Styela clava: one gene and its partners. The main gene of each other region encodes a partner of the protein of the gene in region 2 in a complex. Links are inferred from orthologs where the notes say so. Each region holds a gene or a part of one and is shown on either strand. Other genes may lie near its edges.

What was found. The genes of interacting proteins can lie anywhere in the genome.
Region 1: A-kinase anchor protein 17A-like (region 2) and nuclear inhibitor of protein phosphatase 1-like share a complex: the UniProt entries of both Homo sapiens proteins name them as parts of the spliceosome. The link is inferred for Styela clava from reciprocal best matches to the Homo sapiens genes AKAP17A and PPP1R8.
Region 3: A-kinase anchor protein 17A-like (region 2) and splicing factor C9orf78-like share a complex: the UniProt entries of both Homo sapiens proteins name them as parts of the spliceosome. The link is inferred for Styela clava from reciprocal best matches to the Homo sapiens genes AKAP17A and C9orf78.

The regions. Positions count from the first base shown.
Region 1 is NC_135257.1:22,033,435-22,041,705, reverse strand, and holds the start of nuclear inhibitor of protein phosphatase 1-like, read left to right. Parts: upstream 1-4,861; 5' UTR 4,862-5,024; coding exon 5,025-5,092; intron 5,093-7,425; coding exon 7,426-7,486; intron 7,487-8,258; coding exon 8,259-8,271. UniProt on the Homo sapiens protein: Inhibitor subunit of the major nuclear protein phosphatase-1 (PP-1). It has RNA-binding activity but does not cleave RNA and may target PP-1 to RNA-associated substrates. May also be involved in pre-mRNA splicing.
Region 2 is NC_135263.1:13,031,556-13,039,756, forward strand, and holds the start of A-kinase anchor protein 17A-like, read right to left. Parts: upstream 3,671-8,201; 5' UTR 3,524-3,670; coding exon 3,407-3,523; intron 2,216-3,406; coding exon 2,103-2,215; intron 1,959-2,102; coding exon 1,859-1,958; intron 821-1,858; coding exon 668-820; intron 1-667. Other genes in the region: dynein light chain 2, cytoplasmic, read right to left, coding at 7,845-8,033. UniProt on the Homo sapiens protein: Splice factor regulating alternative splice site selection for certain mRNA precursors. Mediates regulation of pre-mRNA splicing in a PKA-dependent manner.
Region 3 is NC_135253.1:1,232,651-1,240,123, forward strand, and holds splicing factor C9orf78-like, read left to right. Parts: upstream 1-5,120; 5' UTR 5,121-5,177; coding exon 5,178-6,056; 3' UTR 6,057-6,563; downstream 6,564-7,473. Other genes in the region: GPI alpha-1,4-mannosyltransferase I, catalytic subunit-like, read left to right, coding at 6,879-7,473. UniProt on the Homo sapiens protein: Plays a role in pre-mRNA splicing by promoting usage of the upstream 3'-splice site at alternative NAGNAG splice sites; these are sites featuring alternative acceptor motifs separated by only a few nucleotides. May also modulate exon inclusion events.

The DNA of each region.
Region 1 (8,271 bases), on a different chromosome or scaffold from region 2:
TTAAAAAGGCGTTCGATACTGTTGACCATCACATACTAGTTAGAAAGCTGAGCCATTATAGCATTCGCGGTCATGCATCAAAATTCTTCCAGAGCTATTTAAGCTCACGTCAGCAATATGTCAAAGTAGGGACAAATTGCTCCACATTCTCAACTGTGCAATGCGGAATTCCACAGGGCACAATAATCGGCCCATTAATGTTCGTATTATTCGTCAACGATCTTCCTCATGCCACCAAATTATTGGTCAAACTCTTTGCTGACGATACCGGATTATTCGGTAGTTCAGTTTCACCAAACAACTTGAAAATGCACATGAACTCTGAAATACAAAATATTGCAACCTGGATGACTATCAATAAACTAACTAAATATTGCAAAATCCAAATCCCTTTTCATTAACTCCAATAGAAATGACAGAAGTAGGTACTTGTTCCAAATTTCCATTAATTAATGGCATTTTACTTGATAATGTGGACTCCTACAAATACTTGGGCATACACATTGGTAATCGGTTAAAATGGGCAACACACATCAACTACATTGCTGGCAAGCTAGGTAGAAAAGCAGGTATATTATTTAAACTTGAAAAATTTCTCACCACATCGGCTTTGCGATTAGTTTATTTTTCGCTCTTTCAGTCATATCTTCAGTATGGTATTGTAGCATGGGGAAGCGCATCCTCCAACTTACTTCGCAGATTGGAGGTGTTGCAAAATAAATCGATCAGAGCTATAGGTGATGCACCCTTACGATCCAGACTTGACCACTTGTACCATAAATTTAAAGTAATGAAACTTTGCCACGTCCATGAATTCGAGGTATTGAAACTTATCAACCAGTACTTTGACAACAAACCTCCAAGAGCATTTGTAGGGTATTTCACCAAGCAAACTAGCGTTCATTCGTATTGCACAAGATCGGATCACAAGGTGCCTTCCATGTATCCAGATACACACATGTAGAACGCAGAAATCCATCAAATACATTGGTGTGAAGTTATGGAACAATATATCAGGTACCCTAAGATCACTCTCTTATCATGGTTTCAAAAGAGAACTAAAAATGAAGTACATTAGTGACTACCTTTCTTTGAATTGATAATTAACCACTACCGGTACCTGTACTGCTTTTCTTTGCAACAAACCCCCAAGCCCTATTTTTCTGACCAAACATTCGATTCTGTCTATCCACGCTCTGTTCTGCGGGAAAATCAGATGTGCGTGGAGTCTGACTTTCTGAGAATCAAATTTTTAATTGCTTGCTTACACCATGCCAGTGATCAGGACAATGGCTGATCCCGCTTGAGTAATTAATACAGTATATTATTTTTTATTTATTTTCCTTTCTATATATCTAATGAATTTGTACAGTGCATTAAGTTGCATCGTTGGTCGTGGATTTTAAGAAACATGCTCATAACTGGAATGTTTTGCTTTTGCAAACCATTCATGAAACATATTTGTTAATATTATGTTTTCCGAAAATGCTGCTTTTTTTTTCTTATAATATTTTTTGAAGTGTTTTGGTGTTTCATTAACTTTTTGTGCTCACTAACCTGAATCAGCGAGCTTTTAAGGTGTCGCTGCCTGAAGACCTTATGAGGTCCCTCGCGACTCCTGTCACACAACTTAAGTTAAGTTCATATTGTATTTGAAATGTTTTTTTCTTATGATACGTTTATTTTGTGCTGACGAATAAAATGATGATTGATTAATTGATATCAGTTTTATATTCTGTATCATTTGTCTTCGACTTATTTGGTGCTAAATATTTCATTTATATTTTAGTCAACCGTTTTGAATATTCTCAATAAAACGAGTCTGGCAAATCGACTTATCATTTCCGGGTCCCAAAAGTGACACTGAGTACTAAAATAGACGAAATACTGGCCAAAACCATATGCAACACGAAGAAACTTTGGCAGCATAAATGCCAAGATGGCGGCGATCAAATGATCCCGCGGCGAGACAACGCAAAACGAGAGAGAAGATCGTTCCATGTTTTTTCAGTTCAATGGTATCATATCATTGAAATGCGATGGTGAGAGCAACCGCCACACGGTGCGCAATTTTTTTAATCCTGGTGACATCGTCACACAAAACTTCAGGGTGGTAAAACGAATCCCATAAAACCCATGGAAATTTTAAAATAAAACGAAAGTAATAAGCTTCATGCACAACAACAATCTTTAACCACTTTCAATTGCCTAATTGATTCTAAGCGATTGGCCCACTAATAGGGTAGGATAGGATTTATATATTTATCCCGAGGGGGGGGGGGGGGAACCGATAGGACGGTTTACCAAAATGACGAACCACGGCCTCGGGTATGGGATTAGTTAACTTAGTCATTTGTTTTCGGTAGCATGGACTTGATGGTGGAGGAAGCCATAACCGACCAGCAGTTACGGAAACCACCCCACGGCGGCGAAGAGTCCAGCGATCCTCTCGCACGTAACCATCTCTGCTTGAGATTCGAACTTGCTAACCCACGCAGAGTAATCAGAGGTTCGGTGGCAAGCGTATTCCTAACGCTTAGCACGATGAGCCACACCGCCGCGCCGTGAAACCGTAGGGCAAAATTTATACAACAACAACATGAAAAAAAATCCATTTCGTGTCCAATAACAGTACTAACTGCTTAAATTCCTAAACTTTAATCAATCAATCAGCCAATCGTTTATTTGTCATTACAAAAACAAGTTCAAATAAAAACTGATGCAATGAATAAATAAATAATAGTACTAATTATGTTAGTTGTGTGACCGGAGTCGCGAGGGACGTATGGAGGTCTTCAAGCAGCGATACCCACAGCGCTGTTACAGGTTAGCCTAAAAAGTAACATGAATGAGGTATAAAATATATACATCCTAAGAATCCCGGGATTTGGACTGTTTTTTTCAATCCCGATCCCGCAATTATTTCCTAAATATCCCGAGAATTTAATTAAGGCTTTATTATCCACCTATAGATATTCTCACAGATGGTAGGTTATACTATTTTATATAATACTTATTTTGAAAAAAACAATCCACGCTCACAGTTTGAGTGGAAGTAGAATTATTGTGTGAAATTTTCCTCAAATTGTGCCAAGGAATTATTATTTGACTAGTAGAATTGTCATTATTGCCGACTTATTTAATTATAATTTGAACTCAAAATAGCATTCAGGATGCACACAATGACTTCGCAGTGTTTTAATTCACTATATACGAAAATAAAACAGCCACACAGTTGAAAAGTGAAGTCAAGAAGGTCAACTATCGTCTTCATAAATATCCGCATTCCGGCGTCAGAAATGATAATATTTTTAGCTTAAAATTGGGACAGTTAGTTTACAAACGGTGACAAGAAAGATCCAAACCGACCTAAAAGTTGAAAATCGGAATAAAATCTCGAATTCAACCCGATATTTGACAATTCGTTAAAATTATTAGATGAAAATATACTATTTTGACCACCCTTGCGATCTGTAATCACGCCAGTAAATAATAAAAGAAATAGTAATAAAACCAATATTAAAACGCGTGGTAGTCCAAACACTGATGCAATGAAACTTAATAAATCCTCCATGAATTTAGTAAATTGCACTACTTCACAAAAGCGTGGTGGAATTTACGATTATTCCATACCTCGAACACAAAAACGGTCATCTTTTTCAGATAGTTTCTGCGGTCTGAAAAGTTGAATAAGCGTTTCGACATAGTAAATGCTATGATCTTTGCCATCAAATTTATGTTCGGGCTTTCCAAAATCGGAAATTCCAAACGTGAAAAGATATGTCCAGCTGTAAAAATCGTTTATAACAACTTTAAACCTATTTAGTGTTTTTAGCGATAATAATTAATTGTTGTAATGAAATACAGTTTGTTTGCCACTTTCAATTCTCTCGCAACTGCCGACAATAGCTCTATTGAATGATTTTTGGTAATGGGAGAAAAATATTGAATTGTAACAAAAATGAATAAGGTTGTGAAAAAGTGAGAATACATGTGATAATGATAAGGGCGTAACATGGAACAGGGAAGGGCGAGCAAAACCGAAGCGCGTGATCGGCGGTGCGTCTGAAGACCACGTATTACCCGTGAGGCCGCGCTACTTTTAGAATAATGTGAGGTGCTCCGAAGACGCTCTCATTCATGTTTAAGAAAACAGTTCTAATATCGGTAACTGTTAACCATTTGTTCGCGTTCGACTATTGCACTCTTTATGGGTAGAAAATGTTCGTGTTTTGTGATAGGTGTGCCGCGAATATTTAAAGAGCTAAATAGTGTGCCACGATATAACAATGGTTGGGAACCACTGCCCTAGATGCCCTAATATTTCTGCGTCGATATTACATGAAAGAAATACATGATTTTATTGTCATGCAAGATGTTTCAATCTTTACTTTATACGGCTCAATCCCGGGATATATCGATACCGGGATTTCAAAAACTTGTTCCGAAATCCCAACCCTTGTCGCACCTGATGCAAATACAGTAGTTGCGACATTGAAATTGATTACTGCGATTTTTGAACCTTGGTTGTCCCCGTAATTTCCTTTTCCATTAAAAATGTGTACTTATTTATTTGCTCGTAATTTGTGTACGATTGATTTTTAATGCTTGACTTCGAATCTCGCAAATATAAATATGTACTGTATGATCGAAATGGTCAGCGTACTCGGTTACAGTTTTTTATCAGCAAGTCTATGTATCTAGAACGAGTAAATATTACCATGCGCAACATGGATTTGAACCCACAAAAAAGGCCGTCGATGGCAATATCGTAATTTTATCAGTTCTTTCTTTCTCCACCATAATCATGAAATATTTTCCTAATCCTAACAGTAATCTTATGAAACTCAAACAAAATGGAATTTTCATTTCCCAATATATATTGACTCCATCCACCTCTATATTGTCTGCAAGTTCGGTTGTGTGTGCATGTTGATAGATATTTTGGATAGCTTTCGATTAGATTCTTGGAAAATGTTGCACGTTTGAGAGAGTGGTTTAGTTATTGAGGCTTGGATATTGAAATGACGGCAATTAAACCTTCCGGGAAATTTGCTAATCCAGCGAAAGTGGATTTTGAAGTTCCTTCTTGGTGAGTTTCCTTGTTTTTTACTTACTGACAGTATGACTTAAGATATCATGTTTCATATAGGATTTTGATATTCAGCCTGTTAGCAGGTTGGGGAGGAATGGAAATGGCTTATTGCTATGGCGAACCTTGAACTGTTGTCCAGTTATCAGTTCATGTCCAATATGCAGATATGGGTATAGGCGCGGCGGCGTGGCTCAACGGGCTAAGCGTTAGGAATACATTCGCCACCGCACCTCTAACTACTCTGCGTGGGTTCGCAGGTTCGAATCCCATGCAGGGATGGTTATGTGCGAGAGGATTGCTGGACTCCTCGCCGTCGTTGGGTGGTTCACGTAACCGCTGGCCAGACTGGATTCCATGGCAGATGCACGCCAGAAGGCGCTAGCGCTCCACAAAAATGCACGCGAGCGAATTCATTTTTGTTCACCGAAAATTTGCAATTGCTCATTGATGTAAATCGGTTTAAATAGTTTGTACATCAATTATCTAGTAATATAAAGATGCCAAAAAATTATAACTTCACAATTGTCGACTAATACTAGATTGCAAGTTTGGCCTGATCGAAAAATGCGAAGCAAAAAACACCATATCGTGTTGAATGACAGGAATCCAGTGAGAAAGATCGCCCCCTCACCGACGCTGGCCAGTTATGGCTTTGATTCAGCGTATTTTTCAAACAATAATTTTACACGGATGTACTGAACAGTACCGGTAACCCAGTCTGGATTTCATGGCCTTTTTGAACGAGAAATCGGGCGTGCAATCAGAAATTCCCGCGTGCAAATAAGAATTCCTGGCGTGCAATTATAGCTCAGGACGTGCAAAACAACTGCGCTCGCGTGCAACTGACTTTGACATCAGATACCTCTCAATACATCCGCGTAAAATTACCGGTATCGGAAAAAAATACGTTGAATCAGAGAAAAAAATGGACGTTTGACCTTTGACCCCAAATATTATTTTCATACTTTGTCACTAATTTTGGGAGTGTTTGAGCAACTTTAGATACCGGTACTGTTCAGTACATTCGTGTAAAATTATTGTATGAAAAATACGCTGAATCAGAGCCGTACTTGGCCATTGGTGCGGAGGCGATCTTTTCGTCCATATCTATTCTCACGGGATTCCTATCATTCAACACGATATGGACCTTTCCCCCGAGCATCGACTTCCTTGTTTACTTCGTGACATTGGCCAATCAGCAAGATGCAAAAAAGGACGTAACAACGAGAGGAATTTTTCGCGGGTCAAAGGTCGGGGAAAGGTCCATGGTCTTTTTTGCTTCGCAATATTTCGATCAGACCAAATCTTGCAAGCTGGTATTTGTCGACAATTGTGGAGTTATAATATTTTGGCATCTTTATATTACTGGATTATTGATTTTAAAACCATTTAAACCGATTTACATTAGTGAGCAATTGCAAATTTTCGGCGTGCAAAATTGATTTCGCTCGCGTGCATTTTTGCGGAGCGCTAGCGCCCTCGGGCGTGCACCTGCCATGGAATCCAGTCTGGCCGGTAACCAAAGTCGCACAACCACTCTCAAAATTAGCAACAAACTGTAGAAATAATGTTTGGGGGTCAAAGGTCAAACGTCCATTTTTGCTATGATTCAACATATTTTTTATCCATTTTTATTCCGGTAATTTTACGCGGATGTATTGAGAGGTATCCTAGATCGAAGTCAGTTTCACGCGGGCGCAGTTGTTTTGCACGCCGTGAGCTATAATTGCACGCCAGAAATACTTATTTGCACGCGGGAATTTCTGATTGCACGCCCGATTTCTCGTTCAAAAAGGCCATGAAATCCAGACTGGACCGCTGGTCGGTTACGGCTTCCTCCACCACCAAGTCCATGCTTCCGAAAACAAACAATACAGTAAATCTAATCCCATACCCGACTTGGAATGGTAACCGGACGAGAGGCCGTGGTTCGCCATATGAATAAGCCGTCTTATCGGCTTTCCTCTCCTCCGGGATAAATATGTAAATCCTATCCTATCCTTCACCCGTTACCCACATTTGTTTCAGATGCATGGACTTGATGGGCATATGGTTGAGAAAGCTGTAACCAACCAGCGGTACAGTACCGGTACCATAACATATGTGCGGCTCCGAAGAGTCCATCAAATCCTGTTATAATTGTAACTTTCATAATTATGTTATAATCCGAACTTATGTAGTCCAGTCAGTCGTGTAATAATATTTAGCACAATGCGCTGACTGTCAAGCCAAATACAAAAATAAGCTTTCAACTAGCAGTACAGCAGTAGGAAGTATACTGTACTATCAAACTATAGATTGCTATAGTTATTCTATGTTATTATGTTCAGGGCAGGAAAAGCACCTACTGGAACACATCTGAATGTCATGAAAGGAGAGAAGTTGGTTGAGGTGTGTTTGCCTGAGATTTTATTTTCAACAACTTATTGCCGAGGCGCATCATTTGAAGTGTTGAACTCCACTGTGCAGGACTCATGTATTTTACTGATGGAGATAAAATTCAATAACTTATCATACAGTATACCACACTATTTAAATTCCAAGAATTTCCCTCCATTTTGCTCTATAAAACGAACACTCTATGTGTCTCACAAACGAGGGGTGTCTGGGACCATGTCAGATGCGTCATATCACACTATGCTCGTCTCAATAATAATCTAAGTTAATTGCGGCCATCATATGACCATTTTTTGCTAAAAACTCTCGAATGCTACGGTAAAAAAATTTTCCTTTGGTAAATCGGAGTAGTTTTTCCCAAGGAATTCAATGATGACGTTACTGTATTGCGTTTTTTTGTAGTATTTTGCGCAACTTCATTATACTGTATTCTTACCGATATTGAGGGACAACAATGTCCAGACGTCTCCCAAAGGAGGGGTGTCTGATCATCTGTAAAATGGGTTTCTCTGAAACGGGAGAATGTCACCCGATTTGTATAGTGTGCCGTACTGTTACGGCAAAATTATGAAACTTGTGGAAGATTGCAACAGCCAGTTTTTCAATGATTATATATATATATTTCTATTTTCCCTAATCTTCTTTTCTATATCAAATTTCCTATTTCGAAATTTTTGACCTATTTGGTAAAAAGTGCAATGTTCCTCATCTTGCCCAATTGATAAAATTTGAAACAGTTGTTTAAATTTTATTTTTATATTTGCAGAAACTCATCATTG
Region 2 (8,201 bases):
AAAAAAGCTGTTGAACAAAGAACACATATTACACCACACTGTAAAAGTGTTGATTACCAATGGTTAATCGTGTTGCGCAATCTGTGACGTCAGTCTCGTTTCTTTTTAGCCACACCTCGTATAAGTCATATTCCAGACTTCTAGCATAATTTACCATTCGAGATATAACCTCAGATTGAATATAATAAAGGATGAATCATTTTATGGGCATGAGGGCCCAGCACTTAAGACCTATTAACTGTGTTGGCAGAACACCACAACCCCATCCAGAGTGTAATAAATTGGATAGAAATGCCGAACTAGGAAGATTTAGGTTCTTTTAAATAATAGCTCCTTATTTGTCATTAGATATCAGTGGCTACATGTACAGTGCCTTGTTTAGAGTGAAAGGTGTGGATAAGCGTCATATTAGTAGGTCTTTCCAAATTAGAAGTTTTTACTGACAAAATATTGCATACAGCACAATTTTTGATACAGAACAGTTTGATGAAAAATATTCGAGAACAAAATGAATATGCTTCATAGTGTGTGCGTGGTACATTGCTTTGAGCAAATTCTCTGACAACCCCTAGTAAGACATGAACAATTTTAATCATACAATTCATATTTGTTTAAATAAAAATAATATTTTAGGACGTGTGCACAAAACCAGTCATACAATACCCACCTTTGGCATAAAAAATTTGCAGGGTATATTGCTTATGTGTACTGTGTCTGGACGTTCTCCTGGCTGAGTCTCATCATAATCTTTTGAATCACGAAAATATGAATCCCAGTCATGACGAGATGGAAATGGTATTTTGCTTTCTCCACATGTCACCTAAATGATGTTAAATGCAACTTATTTAGCTAATATTTTTCATCACAATTTATTTGATGTGTTAATTACTTTCGAGTTATGTAGAGAAACGCGAGCAGAGAAGGTCAACAATGAAAAATCTGCTATTTTAAATCAATGGTTTTCAACTATTTTCAGCTTGCGGACCATGAAATTTTAAAACCAATTTTGCAGACGGGTAAACCATTTAAAATTTTCTCACATAAGAAAGCTGTACAAATATCAGCAGTAATTTATTTAACATATTTTTAACTGAGCTCAGGATATTCTTTCAAGCGATATTCAAAACTGTGACAATGGCTAGTCTTTATGCTTCGACATCAACAGGGTATCGCAATAGTAAGCTCAATCTGGGTTATGATCTCGCCCATGCATAACTGGTTTCCCAATATTTCCCATATGATTAGCCATTTCATGCATGGTCATAACTGAAAAGTTATTATACGGAGTAACATTTAAAATGACTTTTCAAGAGTGTACACGATGAGAAAAAGTTAGTATCGACAGAAAACGCTAGTTTTATAATTAGAATCGATTTGAAGCTGTGGAGTTAGTAATCACAGGAATGGATTGGGGGTCCTTATGGTGGCAATACCTTCTTTCAGTGGAACTTGTATTATCCATCTATTACCATGACAAATAATTGCACTCTTGCATTTTGATTGCTGTTGTACAGTAATAATAATACGGTTAGCATATACGGTAATAATGTCATCAAACTAGTTCTGAATTTGTGACCCTTCTAAATGCAATTTTGAATTTCTCGGGCTACAATTTTATCTATATTTATGGTTGTTTATCATTTTGCTGAGAAGTACACAAAGAAAAAACTGAATCCGTTATAATTAACTAGACAAGGTATTGGGATGTGCATTTTTAACTCTTAACACTCAACAGTTTTGAGAACCCCTAATTTTGGAGATCTCTCAATTTTTTGAACAGTTCATGTAGGCAAGGATTGTCAAGCTCTAATAAAGTCACACGGACCACTTTATGAAAACAAAATAAAAATTGTTGTACCTTGAGCAAGCCCGAAAACCCAGATAATTTGATATGTTTTCCATCCAACATTGAAACAAATGTAGAAACTAGTGATTTATTTTCCACTTCACCTTCAAATCTAGACAACAAAAAACAATAATTTTAAACAATTTACAGAATCATTTCGATGTAATCAAGGTAAAACAATTCTGCCAAACATCAGATCTGGTATACAATTGACCCCCAATTAAATAGAAAACAAGGTATATCATAAAACTACAACCTAACAAATTCCAAGTTACTCTTTGCCACTCGAAGCAATGTGAATTGGTGAGGGGTGCACATTGTTTTTAACTTTTCCATTACTTCCCAGTTTGATATCGTCTGTCCAACAACCTAAACAAATAAAATCAAGTTAGGTACGCAAAAACAAAGCCTAAAACAAAATACAATCAGGCTATATATGAATAGACCAGGCCAGTCTTTCGGTAGTAACTTTTTACATGAATAGGGCAGATTGGGGAGAATAGTTCCTACAGGAGTGGTGACTCCTCTACGGCCCATGGGCCGGGGCCACGACCCATCTAATTGGGCCACATGGCCCCATCAGGAAAAATTCAATTATCTTAACAAAATTTTCAATTTTTACCAAATTGTCAATATTCAAACCAAAAAAATATACTCCTGTAGTATGTGTACCAGGTTAGGGTTAGGACAAAAAAAATTCAGATTTTTTACATTATAGTTCTATTATGAGTTCGGGGACTGTCTGTGTTAGCCAAGTGAATAGTTTCTTTACACAACTTGATGGGCCGCGGCCCATAGCCTGATGGGCCGAGGCCCAATTCGATGGGCCGTGGCCCCGGCCCATGGGCCGCAGAGGAGTCACCACTCCCACTCAATAGTTCAGTCATTTTAGCATTTAGTACAAAAAAGAGACATAGAGACATAATCATTTTCAGAATATGTACTGCCAAATATGTACAACTGCGATCTTACACCTTCAACCAGTCTGGATTTCATGGCCTTCTTCCCAATAAATAAGGCGTGCAAATGAAAAATCCTGGCGTTCAATCAGTGACGTATGCACACCAAATGTCTGAGCCTACATGCAAATCTACCAAGGCCCCGTGAAAAACCTAGCGTGAAACTAACAGAATTTGAAACACTTGAATACACAAGTGTAAAATTATTTAAAGGGAACATCCCAACTGGGGCTTTGATGCACAGTCCAGTCTACAAAACGGTGAAGATGATGCAGATGTGGATTTTTACATAGGTCAAGTCAATTAATCAGAGCAAACAGAACGTGATAAAGGTACCTATTAAAGCGTCTCACATTTCAAGAGGCCCATATATTTTTTTATTGACATATGTTTTGGCTTGTTAATACAAGCCGAAATATGCGTGTTGTACAGGTGTTCATTGGCTATTTCATTCATTTCTCCAGAAGTTATGGAGGTTACAGGGTTAGGCGGTTTGGTGCAAGTCCAATGCATTATCGTACTGCATTATCTCATTACTGGATTATGCAGCCAATGGTAGATTACGTCAGTTGAAGCTCAGCTCTACATTCTCAAAATTTACCTTCATTTGCGGCAACGCAACGCAGACATTAACTTTAGCGTACGGCTTTAAATGTAGATTCAGCGACGGGCAAAGATTTTCCACGTCTGATAAATCGCTTACAAGCGTTGTATTCATCTCCACAGTATTCCTTGAACGTGCCTTACCCAGCTTGAAAATGGCGAAATGCAGACTAAGTAAAAATCACAAACAGTAAAACACGAACCTGCAACCTGAATGCATTACAGTACTCTGGCGCCTTTAGGGGGCCATTTGGTTGGAGCACAAGTTATTTGTTGTTGTTTAGTCGACCCTTGACCTCGCTAAATTTTTAAGCTCGTTTTGCAAGTGCTTTCACGAGCGGGAGCTCACAGAATTGTTTATTGGACAAGTGGGTGGACCTATGGATCGTTTTGATATTTTGTTGTTGTTCTTGGTAATTTTCGTCTTCATTAATATAAAATCGATTTTCTTTTCAGTTGTGTTCCGGAAATTTAAATCTAAATCAGATAATTCAATGATCACTCTGTGTTATTTTTCGAGAGAAAATTGAGATAATTCCCTGTCCTATTTTCGGGGAAACACGGTAAATCAGAACTCGGAAGAAGGCATTTTGATTTACATCTAAATTTCCGCAAAACTGCCAAAACATCATTTGTTAGGTTAGGGTGGTCCAAACTGCTGCCCATCGACACATTTCGTACGTCTCCAGAACAATTTTAACGTGCACTAAACCAGGGATGTCAAACTCGCGTGGCGTCCTGTTATCAGTACAAGGAAGTGAATTGTCATTTTATCTAAGATCAGTGCCTTAAGCTCGCGAGACGTTTTGTGCCTTCATTTCAATAAAAAGACTACTCTATTTTCAAGACAGCAGTGACGAACCACATAGCTGACGTTGCGCCTCACGATCTATGAGTTATAAAATTAGTCAAATATAACAATTCATCATACAACGAGTTTAATGAAAAAACGTATTCCCTTATCCACAACAACGTTAAACCACAGCGGCCGGTGTGTTTTCAAGTGATAGCTGTCAAGAAAGAATGTAATTTTAAGCGACATAACACAACCGAACGCGAGAAAGGAAAATATCACGGTATTGCTCGGGAAGCAATTTTGAAATACCAAAAGGCTTTATATAACTTCCCTAAAAAACTGATCAGAACGGTACTGATAGGACAATACGTGTGACTGAAAGAGTATATGGACATAAAAATAGCACAACAATAGTAGTTACATCTCTTGCCAACAACTAACAATGGATAAAACTTGAAAACGATATTGCGTGCTAGATATAGGCTACTGTATACCAATGCACAAAACATGAGCTTTGAAATAAACTATCCCTATACTTTATTTGCTCAAGTTTTGTTGATGTTACAATCAAACAAAAAAAAGAACATACGACAATAGCTGTTCGTGAATAATTTTTATGCTGGAAGGGACAAAAAATCACTGGGCCAATTATTTTTCTAGCATAATGTGTAGTAATTTTATATTGATTTGTAGTCAATTCTAATTGTATTTGATCCGAGACAATTTGTTATTTTTCAAAGAATTAAAACACGAAAAGTGTATTTCAAATCGTTCGTAACATTCCCTGATCATGAATGAGCCCAAACCTGAGATTTTTTCGATGTTTCGTAACAAACTTGATCAATACGGTTCGGGACAACTTGAAAATTGTCTAACATTCGAAGAATATTGATGTAATGGTCTTCTAAAGGTTGCAGCACGGCTCTGATAATTACTTAAAATAGCATTTTTATCTACGCTGTAGCAGCGCAATATCTAGTGATGAATTCTGTCAAGTGTCAACATACGATTTGTTGGTCAGAATTGTATTAGATGACCCAGAATTTTCTGACAAAAGTTTTGTCCCAAACTCGTAATTCGTTTCTGTACCAACGATCACAGCATGGGTTACCCCCAACTTTGATGAGTAGACAGACTTATAGATTTTATTGTAGTTTTCGACAATAGTACAGAATACAATCCTAAAACCTCACTGAAAAGATATCAAGCAGTGTTTATACACCTTAATTAAACAGCGAATCAATATTAATAACAAACGTAATAGCGTGACACGTCACATGCAGGAACTCTTATTATTAACCTAATACGGATAATTATCTTCGCCGTGCGGATTGGAATTTGCATCTAATTATTTCAATCCTTGGTATAATAATCTGAGGAAGAAATTTGAAATTGTTAATGACTGGACGAAATATGTTTCTGAAAGCTCAATTAAACTGTAAGATTTGTTTTTTACCAACATCACATTAGACATCATATTGGAAATTTAGGAAAAATTAATTTTGTTGTTCAGGCAAATCGGAGAAAATTTGAGGTTTCTGTTGATGACATATATATACGTAGTTAAGCGATATGAGACAAAAAAAAAAATCATGGAAAATATCGTAACGCTAATAACCGAATTGCGTGAGTCCTTTTTGGCGATTTTGAGTTTTTTATAAAATGGGTATTTATGTAATGCTGCGCACCTTTCGGTTAACTCAGATTTTATTTTAGGAATTCCGAAACCCATGGAGATTTAGTATGACATGCACATTTGTGCAATTGTTTCGTCATAATGAATTATCAGTGTTACCGCAGGACTATTGTGACGTCACAAAAGCAAAATAACCTCGGCGACGTATTTTTGAGTTTTTGCCTCTCGGATTCTAGCTTAGCGCGTATTAATTTGAATTTTTACTACAGTATAGGAAGACGTGCACTTGTGATATTTACTGTCCCGAGTCCAATTTACCTTGGTTGGCTTTATTTTTAAACATAAAAAATAATTTAATTGGAACTGATTAGCTATTTTGGGGATAAGACATTGTAGATACTGAGAATTATATTCGTTTTTGGAATGTTTAGTTTTCAAGACTGGTGCATATAGTGAAGTTGCAAAATTGCGTTAGTCCCCAAGTCATAGACACATTTCTGCCTAAGTCACAGTGCGCCATTATGACGTCACTTAACTGCGTCATACAAATTAACTTAAATCCGACTACGATAAAAAAAATTGAACCATGGCAAATTATTGACTCTCAATGGCATAACAATATCATTAGGAAGTTTTTTACGTTTTTCTCAAAACTGCGAAAAATGACTTACGCAATTCGGTTATTAGCGTGACGATATATATTTTGTCGTTCTGCTTGATTTTGTACGACAAATCGTTGGTGGTTCTTAGGAAACACGGAATTTAAATATAGATCCTGAGATCGATGCAATGACAGCAAAATTATCCTTAGATACCCAAATAACTAGAAAAACAAACTTCAAAAATAAATGCAAATGTTGATTCTTGAAACAATTATGGCGCATTAGCCTATCTTATAAAAATTGAGATTGTACATCCAAACACACTCAAGGTCCCACAGAAAATTCTGTACTTCGCAATATTTTCTATTGCATCATCTATGCACAAAGATAATGTTTACATTCTTATGGCTCAATTTTCTAATGACACTTCTCTTCAAGTTTTTTTTACATATTAATTAATTGCACAGCTTGAGTGGACAAGTGACAGTACAAGAATTGGCAAATATCCTCGACATCAAGATCTGTGCTAATATATATATTACCTAGTATGCCTATCGTCTGGATTGTCTTGAAATTGAAAACAGACGTAACCGAACGATTAAGGCTATGAATTTAAAAGCAATCTTCTGATGTACCGTGATGAGCGTTAGGAAATACGATTTCCATCGCGTGACTGACTACCTCTGCGTCAAATACAGTGGTAATGGCTGATACGTTTGCTGGTCCGTATGTACCTAACTGGTCTGCTAATTTTATACCCGACCTGACGTCCGTATTCTATGAATCTACTGTAATTGTCTTGAAGACTACATTTCATCAGAGTTGTAATATGATTAAGCTGGTGCTATTTGAGTTCACAAGGTAGTCCCCATAACACTGGCGCTAATGTTTTTACTCCTGTAGCTTGAGGTCGTGTAAATTTAATAATTGCGAATCTGAAAATTGTGGAGCAATATCTAACTTCTTGGGGAGACAAACGTAAATTTTATCAAGTCATAAAAATATTTTCGCTCATTACGCCAGGAAAGCGAGACGGTAAGTTGATAACAGCCCAGATGTAAAGCGCAGATATTTTGAAATGGCATAAAAATAAACCATAATTATTCGAATCTAACTATGTAAAGCTTACTAATCGGTGTTTTCAAACTCGCCAGTTCACTACTATCTCACTACTTGTCTCAGTCAAATATGATATCGCTAGGATTTACATCACACGTCGCTTTGAAGACGAAAATAACTAGACAGAGTTATACAAAATGGAATAGAAATAAAGTAGAAAATTTTTACATCAAAGACAGCAAAATTGTTGATCACATTGCACAGTGAGCACAATAGGAAACACTCAGTGAACAGTGAATTGTACATGTATTTATGATAAGTATCATAATGTTTGTTACGGGTTTTATCCTGACTTGAAAAGAAGAATGGCGATTTGGCCTAAATAAAAATATATGAAATGCTTCGTTTCGTGGGTGACGTAGCTTCCGAAATTTCGTCCACATATGCAGTGCCATGTTGGGTTATATTTTTTGTCAAATTCCTTTTTGATGTAAGCAGCTATGTCCTTTTCGATGTTGTATTTTTCCAAAGCCTAAACATAGTAATATATCTTTATTATACTAAGGATATACCTTTTATATTACAAGATCGATATTTGGAAAGCACGGAAAGATTTACATCGCCACTCTGTTGATATACGCTATCCCAAAATCTCTACCGGGATTACCCGTTAATGTCTTCTGGCATTAAAAACATGCTG
Region 3 (7,473 bases), on a different chromosome or scaffold from region 2:
TACGAAAAGGACGCTCTTACATTGGCCAATGAAAGCAGACTTCTGCATGACGTAACAATCAAAATTATATTAGCTGTAGGCGGTCGGTTGAATTTCAGTTTGTACTGCTCGCTCTTGCGTAGAATCGGGTAGCTTATAGATACTTACCATAGATATCAATTTTATTTGAGCCCTAGCTCATATAACGTTGTTAAATAGGTACGTGTCGACGGCTCTGGTACGGCGCCGAAAATAACAACTCAGTTGGTGGACTTGAAACAAATGGAATATAAAAGATAGGAACAGTTCACACATGAAATGATGGGCAACGTAAGAATAGGATTCGAATAATGTGGAAGAAATTATCAGGCATTTAAATGGAACTACGTTGAACTTACAAGACAGTCTCCACGTTGGATTTCATTCAAAATAAAGAATTCCATGCAAAGAAATTTACAACAACAAAGCACCCACGTCGTATTTTATTCATAATAAAGAATTCCGTGCGAAGACATTTGGAATTTTTTTTAATAATTTTGCTGACACTGTTTTCACCTAACACATTACTTCGCAGTTGTTTACCTCAATCAAGTTATTGGTTTACTTTGCGGCTGATGTAAACAAATCCGGACGATAAACATAGCCACATCATATCCGCTTGAACAGTTTTATATTGGAACTCACCATGCCTGCGGTGTGTTTATGTTACACGAGTTAGACGTCCGAATGATACACGTGTTTTTTTTATCTTTTTTATATGTGTTTGTGTGTGTTAGATGGGTAAACTGGCACATGTAATTCTACATGTTCTAAACTTTATTGAAGGTTTTGCCAATTTTCCCAAACTTGCCTGTGTTTCGTTTTTTCGGGGAAATTGAAATTAAATTATACGGTGCGGTAGACCTAGGAAGATATGCTCAAAACAATACGGCATTTTCATGCTTGTATGATCAATTTAACGACTGAGTTGAGATCGCTGATAGTTACTTCAGCATGTCCTGGGTATTTAAGACGTGAACATCAGTAATACATCGGTAAACTATATTACACGGAATTATCCCTGTATTATGAGGACGTCGAGAAAAGGATTTCCTTGGTACTGTGCGAGAAGTGTGCAAAACTCCCTATTGTGTTGTGTGGTCATCTGAAACGAGAGACTAAATACAAACTAAAAATTTAATCCGCAAATCCAATTAGCGACTGAAAATGAGGAAGTGATTATTGTAAGAAAGGAGCGAAGGCATAAGATATACATATATATATATATATATATATATATATATATATATATCACAAAATATAATGCAGAACATCATAAATTTCGTTTTCAAAGCTCTATTTTTGACCTGATAAATCCCAAAAATTTCGTTATTTTTCATTAAGGATGCTAATTATGACTACTTACAAGTATTCGATTCCTAAATTTCCGATTCTCGATTCCGAATATCGATTCTTCGACATATTTCACCGAGAAAACATACCTACCTAAGCAATACCATATAAAATCAAACAAGAGAGCTATGTTCAAATATATGCACGGAAAAGAAAACCAAAACTAAGTAGTATGGGTATCTAATCTGTCACAGGAGACAAAATCGCACAAAAAAAAGAATCCCTCAGAACCCAAAGGGATTCTAGAAATAAATAAACGTAAAAAACTTCTAGCAAAATATATATATAGTGAAGTTTGCGACGTCGTAGCAACTCAACATAGCAGTAAGGCAGTTTATACATATATATATGTGAAGAAATTGCCACAAAACGTTGAACATTGTTAGCAATTCAAGTTTTGACCTCGAAAATCGATTCCAATGCATCAGAATCGATTCTAGTCGATTCCGCGAAGAATCGATTCTGTATTCGAATCCGGACTCGATTCCGCCATCCCTATTTTTCATCGGATCGGGGACTATAGCAAATCCCAGCGGTTCCCAAATATGTGTTTGTGCTACGCCATATCGCCGCATTATTTCAAAGTTGCAATTGTACTCGTGGGATTTTATGACCGACCTTGGAATTTTGCAAATGATGATTTCTTAAAAATAATCTTAAGTAGCTCAAATTAATCAAATGACCAAGATCGCTCCTTTTCTTAATATATAATTAAATTAATTATAATATATATGAAATTGATATGGCAAGACATTTTTAATTCTAGTAATAGTCTTGAACTGAATATTTTGCGCAACAGAAAAACCATCAACGGTGAAAAAGTCGGCAATTTCAACAAATGGGTAATCACGACGACTGTTGCCATTGGAATTTCCGTTTCCTATTTTGGATACAAAATAAATTCAATCAAATAACACTTGCCTCCTAAATCCCAAGTTACAGTAATTTTGTTCGTAAACGACAGGAATGCGCATCATTTATTCTCTTTGATTTGAATAATCTATTTATCAAATACGGTCATCATGACCGCAATTGTTACATTGTGCTATCTTTATTATTAACGTTATCCTAGCCCATTAGCCCAGCTGTTAAGTTTTTTTTCTATCAACTTTCTTTGCGCTGCTGCCGTAATTTGCCAGCCCCTCTAATAACGGCCCATTGATTATTGTGTCTAGGGCTTATGGTATTTGCAAATAACCGTTTCTGATCATACTGAATTTTGATCATCCGGCCCACTCAGGAAAGTAATTACCCACCCCTGGCCTACACTATACTCAAGTGTATTCATCGGATATTCACGTGGGGAAGAGATGGGCCTAACTTGGCACGCAAGCACGGCTATCCGGTACGCGAGCGAGATCTCGGAATCTTCCTCTTCAAATTTAAAAGGATCGTATTATCTGATGGAACTCTGTGTTTGTTTTTCATCTTCGTTTGTTAACAATCTGTCATTTAATTGAACTAATTAGGAAATATGTTATGACGTAGGCCTAGCAACAAGCTGAGCTCCCAACCTTTGGCACATTTTTGCCGCTCCAGGGGTATGTGTACCAATATGGAGATTACTGATTTTGTTCGCCTATTCTACATCAAATTCTGCAAAAGAACTGAAACCTATGGGCACGGGGATATTCACTTGGTCAACACAGACAGTCCCCGAACTCGTTATAGAACCATAATAAAGAAAATCGGATTAAAATTATGGCCTAACCTTAACCTGGTACGAATACTTCGGAAATACCCATATTTGTTTATTTCGGCAACAATTACAAATCAGCAATAGGTTAACAATGACGTAGAAATTGGAATCTATGGCGCCGATCAGACACTTCTTTTGATCAGTCAGATATTCGAAAATAGTTGGGAACCAAATAACTTAATTGCCTATGCCTTCCGAGGATCTTCAGTTTAGTTACAATAATCGATACCGCAAATACAAAATTGATACCGCAAACGCTGCGATAGACTAGTCTAAAATTAGCTATCAGTACCTAGGAGGGGAACAAGGTTTATTGTTTTGAATAAAAATGATAGTTTTGGACGTGTGCGCTAGTTTGTAAGAGCCAACTCTCCAAAACACTCTCAAAATTAGCATTGAAAATTTTGTAATGATAAAGTATAGTGAGAATCTTTTAAGGGTCGGGGTCGGGGAAACGTCCGGCTACATTCTTACACAGTATAATCAATTTGTCTGTGTTCGTGTTATTCATTTCTACTTGATTTATGATTATGAAGCTGTAGATCGCATGCTGAATATACTTGCTTGTTAACTTCTCGGTATGAATTGATTTTCAAATCTACATCCTGATATGGCCATGAATCGCTGTTCTCGGTTATGAACTTTTCTCGTAATAGTTTCGTAACGGTCTTACTACTTACTGAATACAGCGCGAAACACCGCAAAGAGCGCAAAACAGTGCGAAACAGCGCGAAACAGCGCAAAACAGAGGGAAACAGCGCAAAACAGTGTGGAAACAGCGCAAAACAGCGCGAAAGAGCGCAAAACAGAGGGAAACAGTGTGAAGCAGAAAAATTTTTTGCAATGAGTTCGGGGCACCTTGTTTTGAGTTGGAGTACCACGGCAGCAAATTAAAAATACAAACCAACGTATGTAGCCAGTAATGCTGTAATGGCAGGTCTGCCCCTGCTGGTGACACATTTTGGGTACCATAATTTAGAACATTTTCCATATGGATATGGTTGGCTTTAGGGTTAGGGTTAGGTAAAAAGGGACCTCCAGAAGTATGTGCACCAAGATGGCGCACAACCTGAAAATAGTATGTGTGTGTGTGTGTAGCGGATTCAGGTTGTGCGACATATTGCTGCACATACTTCTGGAGCACCAAAAAGGTAGATAAAATTTCGCATGATGACCTATAATCCGGTACATAACCTTGTGAATATGCCGGAAATAGCGCCATAAAACCATGGCGAGAGGCGCCGTGGTTCTTTCGTGGCAGGAGGTGGTAATGACTGCGTCTCCTGTTTTGCGCTGTTTCCCTCTGTTTTGCGCTGGTTTCCTTCTGTTTCGCGCTGTTTTCCTCTCTTTCGCGCTGTTTCGCGCTATTTTGCGCTGTTTCGCACTCTTTTGCGCTGTTTTGCGCTCTTTGCGGTGTTTCGCTCTGTATTCAGTAAGTAGTAAGACCCCTATTATCATGCAGGTTTTGCACTGGAAGTACCTGTACCGGTAGCAATGCATTATTTTTGAGGTGAATAAATTCAATATTAGTTATGTTTTCACTGTTTGGAGGAATTTTCATCCATTCTTCAAGATCCTTCACATATAACTTTAAAAATGCCAGTAGCTACAGTAGTGGTAGCCTATGTTATCACAAATTCGGTTGATACTGGCACGCCGGAAAATTTTGTCATTTTTGGCAAGCAAACCAATAAAAGGTTGTATGACTAACATTCTTTTATTTCATGGTCTTTTTTTGGTAACAATTCCCATTTTTTTTCTGACTTCATGAATAAGTGCCTCGCTTATGTGGTGATCAATCGCGTATCACTCCTCCAATCCTCTGTTTCAAACCACATTATTGGGTTTAGTTATTGTACCTTACATGTTCAACATTTAATTTAAATATATTTAACTAATTCATGATTCTTTTAAAAAATATTACACCCATTTTCCCTTTTTCAAAGAGCTCAATTTTCAAGTGTCCACTTTTAGTTCGTCCCCCAGTACTGCGTTAGCTTTACTTTTGTTTTTTATTTTCCTAGAGCTGCCCTGAAAGACTTTTTTTTGATTATAAAAATTTTGTATAAATTTTTAGGTTCTATTTGGTAGAATACGGTACTGCAATATGAGTTCAGGTAAAAGGAGAAATATTCGTAGGAAAAGGCAGGAGTCTAGCGATGAAGATGAAGATAAATCTGTTGTAGGCATTGTGGAAATAACTCGAGAAATGCAAAAGATTCGCAAGCGCCAGGCAGGAGTGAATGCAGTTGCTTTGGCTACTGGTGCTAAAATGACAAATGAGCAAGAACTACTGATTGAAAATGATCCATTCAAACTAGGTACTGGTGGACTTATTGACATGAGAAGAGTGAAAGATAGAAATCGAGATCGAACATATGAAGATACAGATCGTGACGTGACAAATTTGGGAACAACTTTTTCAGCGGAAACAAACAGAAGGGATGAAGATGCTGAATTGAAAATATATATTGAAAAAGAATTACAAAAGCGGAAGGGTATCACGAATGATGATGAGAATAAAACTAGCAATATCAAATCGGCTGAAGATCAATTGTTTGCCCTTCCGGATCATTTGAAAATTTCTGTAAAAAAACAATCTGAGGAAATGTTATCAAATCAAATGTTGAGCGGCATACCTGAAATAGATTTAGGAATTGAAGCGAAAATTAAAAATATTGAGCGTACAGAGGATGCAAAACAAAAGTTAATTCATGAGCAGTTAAACAGAAAGAAGGCAAATTCTACATCATTTGTTCCAACTAACATGGCTGTTAATTATGTTCAACACCGGAGATACATGTGTGAAGATAATGATTTTGCAAAAAAGAAAGAACAAAAGCAAGAACAAGAACTTGCACCACTGGTTGTTGGTAACACATCTCGCCAACCTACAGTAGAATTGACGAAAAAGCGAGAAAATAAAGATAAAGCTTCGGATGACTTTCATTATGATAAATTTAGAAAACATGCTCGGAGATTTTAAAATATTTTTTAATTTAACCCATGATACATTGTGAGATTTATAATAAACCTGTTTTTTGCTAATCGGAGTTTGCGGTGCAATTCCAGTAATATCAACCAAATTGAGTGTAACAATGGCATTTCTAAATTCATATATATTACATCTAACTGGACCCAATGAATACACTCAAAGCATACAATATATGTATGGTTATTAGGAATATCTTTTGAAGATTGATGTAATTGTCTCGTAGTATCGATTCAGTTTTAATGGGTGTTGGCTGGTATAAATAAAAAATTAGTAACATATATCATGTTTGGTCTTTATTGATCAATTTTATGTAATACCATGCTTATTTAAACCAAGGTATTCTGTTGAATTCTAAATAATTAACTCTATAATGAGAGTGATTCATTATGCCAAATTTTAGTTACAAAAAATAATTTCAATATTGTATTTATGGATGTCAAATTATTTTTGTTTAACGCTCAATAACTGCCCCAAATTATTGCTTTCTTTGTTTTACAGTTGGCAGTGCAAGTGGGGCATATTTTGTTGGTCTTGTCTTTCAAGTTATGAATAGTATCGGTGAAGATTGCACACCCTTGAAGTGGGAATACGATAAATGCTTCAATCAGTGGTTTAGGGAAAGCTATTTGAAAAATAAAAGTGTAACACATGAAGACGCATGTGGAACTCTTTTTCAGAGTTACAAAAATTGTGTTAAAAAGGCATTGAAAGAACAAGGAATTGATTTAACAGATTTAGAAAAGTCAATGTTGAAAGGAGAAGATGGAGGATTTTCATCAACCCAAAGTTAACCTTTGATATTTTAACGTAATCATGGATATATCATTACAACAGTTGCATTTATGTGCTTTTTTCATACGTATTGGACTTATTGTGTATGGTGAATGGCAAGATAAAAACTTGGAACTCAAATTCACTGATGTCGATTATCATGTTTTCACTGATGCTGCTCAATATGTCTTTAATGGAGAGTCTCCTTATAACAGACCCACATATAGATATAGTCCTCTACTCGCATGGATGTTGGTGCCTTGTCATATTATTCATATTCTGTGGGGAAAACTAGTTTTTATTTCTGCTGACTTATTAGCTGGATGGCTTATACAGAATACAATGGCAATAAATCATGATAAAGGAAAACTTACTAAAATAGCTTTATCTATATGGCTTTTTAATCCAATATCTATGACTATATCAAGTAGAGGAAATGCTGAATCGATAATGTCAGTTCTTGTTTTAGGTACATTATACCTGGTATCCAAGGAGCGATTAATTTTAGCTGGCATTTTTTTTGCCATATCTGTCCATCTCAAGATATTTCCTCTAGTTATCGCTCTGGCTGTCTATCTTTTTTTAGGGGACGGTTTTGAAGGTCGACATAATAAACTTTATGTTCATGAATTTTTAG